3 linked regions of the Danio rerio genome follow. The protein of the gene in region 2 interacts with the protein of the main gene of each other region in a pairwise test. Links are inferred from orthologs where the notes say so. Each region holds a gene or a part of one and is shown on either strand. Other genes may lie near its edges.

The links. The genes of interacting proteins can lie anywhere in the genome.
Region 1: the proteins of ubac1 (region 2) and rnf216 interact in binary tests that used the Homo sapiens proteins (3 or more experiments, as listed by UniProt). The link is inferred for Danio rerio from reciprocal best matches to the Homo sapiens genes UBAC1 and RNF216.
Region 3: the proteins of ubac1 (region 2) and cpsf6 interact in a two-hybrid assay, tested with the Homo sapiens proteins (2 studies listed by BioGRID and IntAct). The link is inferred for Danio rerio from reciprocal best matches to the Homo sapiens genes UBAC1 and CPSF6.

The regions. Positions count from the first base shown.
Region 1 is NC_133178.1:39,616,846-39,620,605, forward strand, and holds the start of rnf216 (E3 ubiquitin-protein ligase RNF216), read right to left. Parts: upstream 2,488-3,760; 5' UTR 2,410-2,487; intron 1-2,409.
Region 2 is NC_133180.1:55,322,779-55,326,438, reverse strand, and holds part of ubac1 (ubiquitin-associated domain-containing protein 1), read right to left. Parts: intron 626-3,660; coding exon 373-625; intron 245-372; coding exon of another isoform or gene 242-244; coding exon 155-241; intron 17-154; coding exon 1-16.
Region 3 is NC_133179.1:2,380,958-2,384,617, reverse strand, and holds part of cpsf6 (cleavage and polyadenylation specificity factor subunit 6), read left to right. Parts: intron 1-252; coding exon 253-426; intron 427-1,024; coding exon 1,025-1,508; intron 1,509-3,481; coding exon 3,482-3,597; intron 3,598-3,660. UniProt on the Homo sapiens protein: Component of the cleavage factor Im (CFIm) complex that functions as an activator of the pre-mRNA 3'-end cleavage and polyadenylation processing required for the maturation of pre-mRNA into functional mRNAs.

The DNA.
Region 1 (3,760 bases), on a different chromosome or scaffold from region 2:
AAAATGAATCATTATTAAAGTCACAAATTGTACAATTTCTTATGCCTGAACGTTTTTTAAAAGTCATTATACAATTCCAGGCATCAAAAACACATGCAAATGATAAATTATAATATAAACTCAACATAGCATATCCTCCGATTGACTATTGCGAAATATCACATTGCAATATTAATGCTGAAACTATATATTGTGCAACCCTATATCAAAATATAACATTGTTCACAGTCAAATAAATGCTAATGTAGTTTTGAAGTCATACTTGCATGGCATTTGGGACAAATATTCGAAGTAGTGTGGTAAAGAACATGGAGACCGTGTCACAAGTTGGCACTGAACAAATGTGTGATCATAAGAACCAACTTTAGCTCAATCAATGCAACTTACTGATAGGGATGCTCCGATCGATCTGCAGAAGATTGGTATCGGCCGATAATCACATTTCATAACTCGATTGGTGTTTTGGAGTTTACAGGCAGAAGAAAACCCACATGTGCTCCCATATATTATACATTCCCTACAGCAGCCACAACACATAACAAGGTAAAAGATGGATGGGGCTGTGAGCAATCAACGTGTTCACGTTATAGCAGATCAAATACAGATGCAGAGTGACCCGTTTATACTGTCTTATGTTTTTATATGGAGCCAGATCAGTCTCAAAAATAATACATTCACAAAATAAAAATCATACAACCACAACACAATTCACATTTACAAAATTCAATTTGAAGTTTAAAACAGGATTTAAAAATACACAAATCAAATTTGAAAACTCAAAAAAAAATGAAAAAAATACAAATCAAATTTGTAAATATAAAAACGATTAAAAAAAGCTAATTCAATATGTAAATTCAAAACATGATTCAAAAATACACAAATCTAATTAATTTTGTGAAAAGATATATGATTTTAATTGTGAATTCATGAATTGTGTTTACAAATGTACAAATTGGATTTTGTGAAATGTGAATTGTGCTGTGCATGTAGGAATTTTATTTTGTAAATGTGTTATTTTGAGACTGATCTGGCACCATATTTATAAGGTAAAGCTGCTTCTGGCCATGAAATGTTCACACCTGAAAGGTTATAAGAAATATGTTTAAGGTATTTTATGCAGCATCCTTAATTTATTTTCTTAGGAAAGGCTAGATCTACTCTTAAGCTTTAAACTTAGAGGGAAAGTGTGCTTAATGCATTAAAAACCTTGAAGCATCAGAATCAGTACTCGGTATCAGTCGATCACCATGACAAGGAATGTGTACTCTGTATCGGCTGCAAAAATCCTGATTGGAGCATCCCTAAATATTCAGGTAAAATTGGTTTTATATTTACACATTCTGACTTTCTCCGTAATAATATAATTTCAGAAAAGTATTCTTTGCAATTTCTAAATAGAGAAACCCTAGTAGCAGCCAATGGCTATCAAAGTACAACATTGTTCAAAGTCAAATCAACAGTGCTAATGCTGTTTTGAAGTCATACTTGCATGTGATTTCAGACCGAACGTCCAAAGTACCAAGGTAAACAATATAGGGAGCATGTCACAAGCTGTCACTGAATAAATGTGTAAATATAAAACCATCTTTACCTCAAACTTACAATACCTCAATCTACTTTAAAACTCGAAGAAAGACAAGCAAATCACCTCAATCTTGGATATCATGAGGGTTAGTAAAAAACAGAAAAGTTTCATTTTCGGGTGAACTATCCCTTTAATTATGAAGATATATCGAACATCTCATTTCCCACTATGAAGTTTCCAAACATGACTAACATTTTAAGCATCTCAGAATAAATGAGAGACTCAAACCACATCTTCAATTCCGCACCTTTGACTGGCTTGAGTTTATATAACGTCACAGGACATGAATTTGAAAGTTGACAGTAAAAGAGTTGATGTCCTTGATCAAAAGGGGGGTTTATTTTTTTAGAAAACAGCGCTGTCACTGAATTTCTCTCTACGCAGCCATTTAAATGTACTTTCCTGTCTTGTTTATCTATGGTGTTTCAGTTCGGTTGCGCCTAAAACCAGGCAAGCATGCTTCCTAAGTAGTCAGCACACTATGTTTTGAAACAATCAGTTAATTCCTGTAGTTTGTCAGCCGAAAACAGCTCGTTTTGCGCTGAGGATTTGATCAGGCGTTTATCCAACTCTTTTCAAAGAAAAACATCGCTGAAGTAGTCAGTTGTACCAAAGGGCAGAAGAAACAAGCAAATCAACACTCGCTAAACTCCCTAGCCAGGCTCAGCTAGCTGTTTGGCGTTAACCCTCCTCGCCAGCTGACATCACTTAAACAAGACAGATTTACCCTCTCAGCCGGGTATTTCACCTCAGCTGAAGGGCGAGGATAAACAAGCACATTTAAGACTTCAACACACGAAGACTGTTTCAAGAATCTCACGTACCTCTCAGTCACAATATCCAGCACATCGACAGCGTTTGATCGCCGGATATCGACACAAACGGCCAAAACAAGCCAGCGTGACGTCAGACGCAAATGCGTCCTACAAGAAGGAGGAGCTGTAGTGGATCGGGGGTTGTAGTTCTTCTCCATCATGTGTTGTTCATATGGTGTTTCACCTCTAGATGTCTCTGTTTCCCGTCACTACGGTGTTTAAAATGAGTCTGGCGATCTGGACGAATGTTTTGATTATTAAAACGATCAATTGATGATTTAAGTACAGATGAAATCAAAACTGACCATATTGATTTTGTTAGCTTGCATTGTTAGTTCTGTGGTGAATAATTCATCTGTGCATGTCATTAAGAGACAAAAAATTGTTTGCCCCATCTAAAGTTAAAATCTGAAAGATTTTATATCTAGATTAAACTGTATATGTAGTAATCACTCTAACAGCTACACTTTTAAACATATGTGTTTGTGGTAATTCTTGATAATGGTTTTTCTGAACCATTGGATCTGTCACTGCATGTTTTGTTGTTGTTGTTTTAAATTATTTTAATGCACTAAAATGCAATGTTTTGAACAATGAACAAGTTTAACATGTCATTCATTCATTCATTCATTCATTCATTCATTCATTCATTCATTCTTTCATTCTTTCATTCATTTTCTTTTCGGCTTAGTTTATTTGTTAATTAGTTAATTTTATTATATCACCACTGCCAGCCGTTCACAATTGATTTTCTGTGAAGTTTTAAACTGAAGTAGTTTCAGCATAGCAAGATCATGCAATAACATCAATCAAACGCTGTGAAAATACAAATCACAATTTTCCAAACGTATTTTATTAGCCTTTATGTCATAAGAAAACAGAAAAGTTTGCATGTTCTCCCTGCATTCGCGTGGGTTTCCTCCAGGTGCTCCAGTTTCCACCACAGTCCAAAGACATGCGGTACAGGTGAGTAGGCTAAATTGTCCGTAATGTGTGTGTGTGTGTGTGTGTGTGTGTGTGTGTGTGTGTGTGTGTGTGTGTGTGTGTGTGTGTGTGTGTGTGTGTGTGTGTGTGTATGTTTCCCAGAGATGGGTTGCGGCTGGAAGGGCATCCGCTGTGTAAAAAAACTTGCTGGATAAGTTGGCGGTTGGTTCTGCTGTGGCGACCCTGGATTAATAAAGGGACTAAACCGACAAGAAAATGAATGAATGAATAAACTATATGTAGCATTCACTTTAGTACACTTTTAATATATTGGTGGTATATATTATTTCTATGGTAAATCTGTTAAAACCTGTTTATAGCCATAACAACATCAAACTCGCTAGTACATTCTACTTTCCACAGTCAGAATTTGGCC
Region 2 (3,660 bases):
CGAGCAGCCATTCGCACTGTGTGGGAAAATAGATTTAACATTAAAACAAGTCACACTTTAATAAGAATCATAACTAGTTAGAAATTTGAGGCATCTTAATTAGCAGAAGAAATGACACAATATACTTGATACAATTCTTTAAGTGTTTACATACAGCTGCATCCTGTTGATTATTATTGACGCGGAGAGCATCGATCACTTCCTTCTCATCGAAGCCCATCTCCATTAGTGCAATCACTGCCTGCTTACACACAAACGACACAACGCATCTCATTCAAAATGGCTTGGGCATATATTAGTGCTACAGCAATGTTTGAGTTTAAAACTCAACTGTTCTTCTTGTGTTTCTCATGACTCTCACATGACACTAACCCGTGAGTCTGGTCTGAACTCTCTTTTTCTTCTGATCCTTTTAAAGATCTCTGTCAGTTCATCCTGTTTGGCCTCGTCTATGCTGGCCTGGGAGATCAAACGAGCACGGGCTGCTAAAGCTGTGGCAGAGGCTCCTGGAGCAGGCGCTGCAGCGGCGGCTGCCCCTGGACTCTCCTGTCCTGGTAGAGGCGCATCAACCATGGGGTCATCAACATGCTCAATCAGCCATTCCATAGCCTGGGTCACAGACATGCTGCAAACAGAGTGCTTTGTTATTAGTGGCTTTTATTTAACCCAACGAGAGCTGAGATTTTTTACAGTTCATAACCCACAAAACCATCTTTTTTGTTCATTTATCTGTTGTTATCTAGATTGTGGTTCTCAACCTTTTTCACTTCGAGGCCCACCTTTTTCTCTGAAAAATTTTTGAAGACCCAAACTGATTGTCTAGAGCAGGGGTGACCAAACTCTGTCCTGGAGGGCCGGTGTCCTGCAGATTTTAGCTCAAACTTGCCTTGACACACCTGCAAGGATGTTTTTAGAGTAGAAAGCCTAGTAAGAGCTTGATAAGCTAGCCCAGGTGTGTCTGATTGGGGTTGGAACTAAACTTTGCAGCACACCGGCCCTCCAGGACCATGTTTGGACATGCCTGGTCTAGAGAAAATGCTTATTTTAAAGCTTTATTTATTAGCAAAACATTTATTTTGCCCTCTATTACTCCCTAGTTTTTCAACATTTTTTTATGTATATATGTATATATATAAAGTTATATATATATATATATATATATAAGAATATATATATATATATATATATATATATATATATATATATATATATATATATATATATATATATATATATAAAACTTTAAAAACACACAGACAGGTTCAAAGCTCCTGAATTCTTTCCTTCAGTTATTCTTTAAAGCTGCAGAGTATTTGGGCCTTTTCTTCATCTATTGATTTATATCCACTTAACCCCAACCCTAAATGTAAAATAAAGAAACAACCATCTAAATATGTTGAAAAAAATCGATCTGATGGTGGTTTAGTTTGTAGCTGGACATTATTAGAGTTCGCTGACAGGAAAGGTGAACGGCTGTTCATAAATGAAACACCACAGATTGTTGCTAGATCCTCCTGTACGGACTCACTTTAGTTATAAAACGCTCGCAAGATGTTAATTTGGACAACTATGAGGATGTTTTAAAGTGTTCACACAAAGAAAAAATACATAGTTTGTGAATCAGGAGACTTGTGTGACTCTGATACAGTATGAGTTGCAGACGTGAGGCAAGCGTGAGCTGCTTATTATAAAACAACATTACCTTTACATTTGCATAACTGTTTGCTTTATACAACTGAGAACATAGTCCCATTTGACGCGCAGCGGTTGGAAATTTAAGCCACAGTTTTTTCACAGTGAGGCTGTTTTTGCACAGTCCAAATTAGTCTGCTCAATCACAGAAAACAGGAAATGCCATTACTATTTTATTTTTAATATGACGTTTAATAATGACATCAAATAATTATAGTACAATATTAAAGGTAATTTTAAGCCATCTCACAGTCCACCTGCAGGATCGCTGAGGCCCACTGATTGAAAATCTTTGATCTATATAATAATTTAGCATGTTTTCATATCATGCCTTAACGCAGCATTTCTCAATCCCCGTTCTTACGCCCTCCTCCTCTACATATTTTGCATGTCTCTCCTATTTAACAAAGCTGATTTAGATTAGCGTTATACCGCGGTCACACTTGAGTTTAAGCATGTGAATTTTGTAGTACAGCGCTGCGAAAAGCTGCGAGATTAAACAAGATGATTAGACATTTAGAAAAGCGAGAGATTTGTTCATATTTTACATATCTGTCCAGAGAGGTCATGTTTTGATCTTTGATTGGTCTTGCACAGTCACGTGATGCAATTTCCCAGGTTAGAGTTAACCAAGCTTAAACTTTGCAATGCAGCAAACTACGAAACTAGTTGCACGAACTTGCATTTTCAGTCTGACACATTCGCATCGTATGAATGGAAATCTATGGGGCCTGCAACACTGCATACTTTGGATGTCTCCTTTGTCTGTCACACCCATTACAAATCTTTCAGTCTCTGCTAATGAGCTGATGATGTGAAACTGGTGTGTTTGGTTAAGAAGACAAGAAAAACAAGCTAATAGTCCTACAGAATTGTGGGTGAGAAACACTGGCTGTTTCTCAATATGCGTTGTTCACCTATCTTGCATCCTTGTGTTCTTGTGTAACGTCATCATCAACCGCAAAAGTTCAGTTACAAAACCCAAGACCGCAAGAACAGAGGACACGCGAAAGTTCCTGAATGTGTTCTTGATATCGAGGATGCGTTTTGTGCATGTTATATATATTCAAAAGGGGGAAAACAAGAAATCGTTGTATGAATTCCGTAGGTGATGCAGTGGCGCAGGTAATGCTGTCGCGTCACAGGAAGAAGGTTGCTGGTTCGAGCCTGGGCTGGGTCAGTTGGCATTTCTGTGTGGAGTTTGCATGTTCCCCCACAGTCCAAAGACATGCACTATAGGTGAATCAGGTAAGCTAAATTATCCATATTTTATGTGTGTGAAAGAGAGTGTATGAGATTCCATGATGGGTTGCAGCTGGAAGGGCATTCGCTGCATGAAACATGTGCTGGATAAGTTAGAGGTTCATTCCACTGTGTCGACCCCAGATTAATAAAGGGACTAAGCTGAAATGAAAATGAATGAATGAACGAATGCTGTAATGTTTTATTAATTTCCAGTTGCGTGAATGCGTGAAGGTCATGTGACCATCAAAAAGAATGCAGCATTTCATTTCTCAGAGGTAGCGTTCTCTGTTCTCATGGTCTCAGAAAGTTCATTCAACCGAGGTAACTTGGCAAGAACGGTCTCCACAAGAACACGAGTCCGTTCTCTGCATTCTTGGAATTGAGAAACAGCCAAGGAAAATGAGCTGGTGGTCCTCCAGGAACGCGGTTAAGAAACACTGATTTAGATGACCATCTCCATGCATGAACTGTGTTCTCACTGATATGTCCCTACGCAGTGTGCATTTCCTAGACCCTTCCTTATTGCTCACTACCTGCGCATGAGAAAATCTTATTTCACTTCAGAACGTTCATTCATGTATTTGTGGCATTGCCTTCAGCGTCTTACAAGTAAATTGTGAAGCATGAGCTTAATGAGAGCAAGCGCAGAGAAAAAGTGAAATGTGTAGCAGGGGGAGCACCTATTAAAGGACTGGGATTGAGAAATGCTGCCTTAAAAGGTAC
Region 3 (3,660 bases), on a different chromosome or scaffold from region 2:
GCATTTGATTGGCCAGCAGATTTGATAAAAAAAAAAATCCATTTAAGATAAAGTGACAATCTGCAACTTTTTATGTTTTTATCTTGTAAATGTAAATTTTATCACTGTTTTGGAGCACACTAGACTATAGATATCCTTAAAACTAACATCTAATGTTAATTTTGATTTCACGGGGACTTTAAACTTACTGAATGAGAATAGCGTTGCTGTATGTGTGCTGCAGTTTAGAAGAGTGTGTTTTGGTCCACGCAGGCACACAGTCAGGACAGATGTCAGGAGAGGGGAAGGCTGGTCCTCCAGGCTCAGGATCTCGAGGTGGAGGATTCCCTCCTGGCAAAGGTCAGAGACGCTTTCCTGGCCCACCTGGACAAGGAGACCGCTTCCCTGGACCGGTTGGACCTGGCGGTCCTCCACCACACTTCCCAGGTATAAGCTTGAACAGGAGTGAACTTTTGAATTGTCAGTATATACATCAGAACTAACAGCTATTATTATAGGTCTGCAATGGGAGGAAACAAATAGGACTGTAATTTGTTCTATCAGTTGTTGGATCTATAACAACTGATAGAGAAGATTTAATAATGCAAGTTTCTACAACATTATACAGACTTAAAGTAGAGGGTAAAAATGTACATTTTTGTTGTGGACCGGCACATATTGGAATAATGGGAAATAAAATTGGCAGATAAATTGGCAAAAAGAATCATTGAAGAAAAATCAAGTAGATGTTAAAGTACCTTTGGGAAGGAATGAAATGAGATCAGTAATTAATAAGGAAATAACAAATATTTGGCAACAATATTTGGTCTGAAAACTGATGCTCTGAGGTGAATGGGTCACTTTTCAAGTGAATCAGAAAAAGTTGATCAATTGTCCTAAATCAAGAATGGGTGATGTTTAATGTTCACCACAAAACTAGCAGTGTGAGCTCCCAAAATCATACGGTTAGTTTTGATTTCATGTGTATTTTTGTAATCCCTTCTCCTCTCTGCTTCAAAATGTAATGCATCAAATCTTCTTGCAGGTATGCAGGGCCCACCACGTCTTCCCTCTGGCCCACCTGGGCCCCTGGGACCTCCAGGCCCCCCTCCACCTGGACAAGGTCTGCCTCCTCCCCTCGGCGGACCCCCTAACAGAGGAGACCGTCCTCCTCCACCTGTCTTGTTTCCTGGTCAGTTCGGGCAACCCCCAATGGGCCCGATGCCTCCTGGGCCTCCCCCACCAGGATACGGGCCTCCCCCAGGCCCCCCTCCACCTCAGCAGGGACCACCCCCTCCAGGACCCTTCCCTCCCCGTCCACCTGGGCCCTTAGGACCCCCGCTTGGCCTCGCACCCCCACCACACATGCAGGGACCCCCACCTGGAGGCCCACCGCCGGCTCCTCACGTCAACCCGGCCTTCTTCCCACCACCTGGAAACAACATGCCATCATCTGACGGCAGAGGACCCCCACCTGGAGACCCGTACGGCCGCCCACCTCCTTATGACAGAGACTTCCCTGGTGGCAGGTAATAAACACATCGCCCACAACTACACCTATACTCTAAAAAGCCCGAAGTGTATGTGCACAGTTAAATGAACAGTCTTACTATAGTATGCTGTGATGGCATGCTCACTACAACAGATAACACTGCAAATATGCATTCAATTGTTTTTCATTGGAAGCACATTTAGATGTAATTTAATCATTTCACATTACATTTTAATATTGACAGCCATAACTTGATAACATTTTATAAATATTAAAAAATAAGTGAAGTTTCACAAACTAATTTCTAGAAGAGCACGTGATATGATCAACTAGAGCTGATCCTCATCACTGATCATTAGCTAGCCTATCAGATCATTCCAAAACTACTATGAATATCCTGCCTAAACTCCGTTCCCTGTCTTCGTTTTTGGCAAACCCCCTTCTATCCTTCCCTTCTCCTTCCTCGTTAATTATATGATAGGGCAACAGGGTGGCTCAATGGCTGGCGCTGCTGCCTCGCAGTGGGAGGGCCAAAGGTTCAAGTTCTAATTGAGCCAGTCGTTACTCTCTGCCATGAGTTTGCATGTTCACCCTGTGTTCCCGTATGTTTTCCTCGGGTACTCCGGTTTCCTCCAACAGTCTTAAAACATGTACATAAGCGAACTGTAAAGTCATAAGCACTTAACGCATACATACTGAATCAGTCAGAACCACCATATTAACCATAGTATAAAACAAACGAGAGGGCTCTCGAAGAATACCCGATCTCCTATCCAAACTAATGCTCATTGACCAAACGGGAACCTTGTGCTCTTCGATTTGAGATTCAGGTTCTCTCCTGGGACAGCATGCCAAACCTGCTATCATAGTTAAGCATTGTCTAAGTGTGAACTCCTAAATGTATTTATATATTGTTACGTGTTAATGATGTTAAATAATTAAAAGGATGATACGTAACAATCAGTGAGTCCATTGATGCTGGGTGAATAAGGAGAAGACACAAACGCTTGATAAGTGAAACAAAAAGTAAGTATTTATTAATGGATAATGTCAAACAATGAATATGAGATGGAAGATAAATGTAATTTTAAATAATTGAATTAAATAAAGAAAAATAGGAGTGTTGCCAAAACAAAGAAATAAATATAACAAAACGATCTAACTAAACCCCAACCCACTAAACTGACTGATCAAAGAAAAATGCAGAAACAAAACAGTAATCTTCAGCACGTAGCTTAACTAAACTTCATAACTCCCAAACATAATTACACATGAGGCAACGCCTCCAAAAACGAACTAATACAAAGTTATACTAAGCTGCTCGAAATACTAGAATTCTTGTAAAGTACAGACTGTTAGCCATTAGCAAAACAAGATCTCAGGTAATCCAATTCTCATAAAGATCGTTCATATTCTCACTATACATTAACCTGAGCAGCACAAGTTTAACTGATAAATCCATATCAACAAAGAGAAAACTAGAACACAGCACTCGCAAACAAACCAAGCGGAACAAACAAGTCAACAGTTTGAGAGATTGACAGGCCAAGCGCTCCTCCAGAACAGCGCAAGCGCACCGGTTTTATACTGCGCGGACCCAATCCTTATTAGCGCCGATTGAGTGACGAAGGTGAATGACAGCTCACTCGACCAATGGTAGCACACCTGAAACAGGATAGGACCACTGCGAGAGAGAGAGAGAGAGAGAGAGAGAAGAGCGCAAAGCAGAAAACAACAAAAATACCACAAAACATACGTGAAACGTAACTATTTTTTTAAACCTGTCTATCTTGCATTTGGATGGTATTTCCTTTTATTTTGGTGTCGCTTTAGTTTTTAGTTGCTGAAATGTCTGTGCCTCACTTTGATTTAACATGTGATGCAATGTGATTCAGCACTAACGACCACTGCAGCTCTTTGTGTGAATTCGATCCCTGAAGCATTACGCTTCGCTCTGACTCGTGCTTTTAGTTTGCGCGTGTTCATTAATCAGCATTTTGTGTGCTTCAGGGACATGGATGCGTCTCGCACTCCCCTGAGCGAAGCTGAGTTTGAGGAGATCATGAACCGGAACAGAGCGATTTCCAGCAGCGCTATTTCAAGGGCCGTTTCTGATGCCAGTGCAGGTGTGGAGATCATTACACCCAGCACAAATATGAGGTGTGGTGTGTTGTGAATTAACCGTTTCC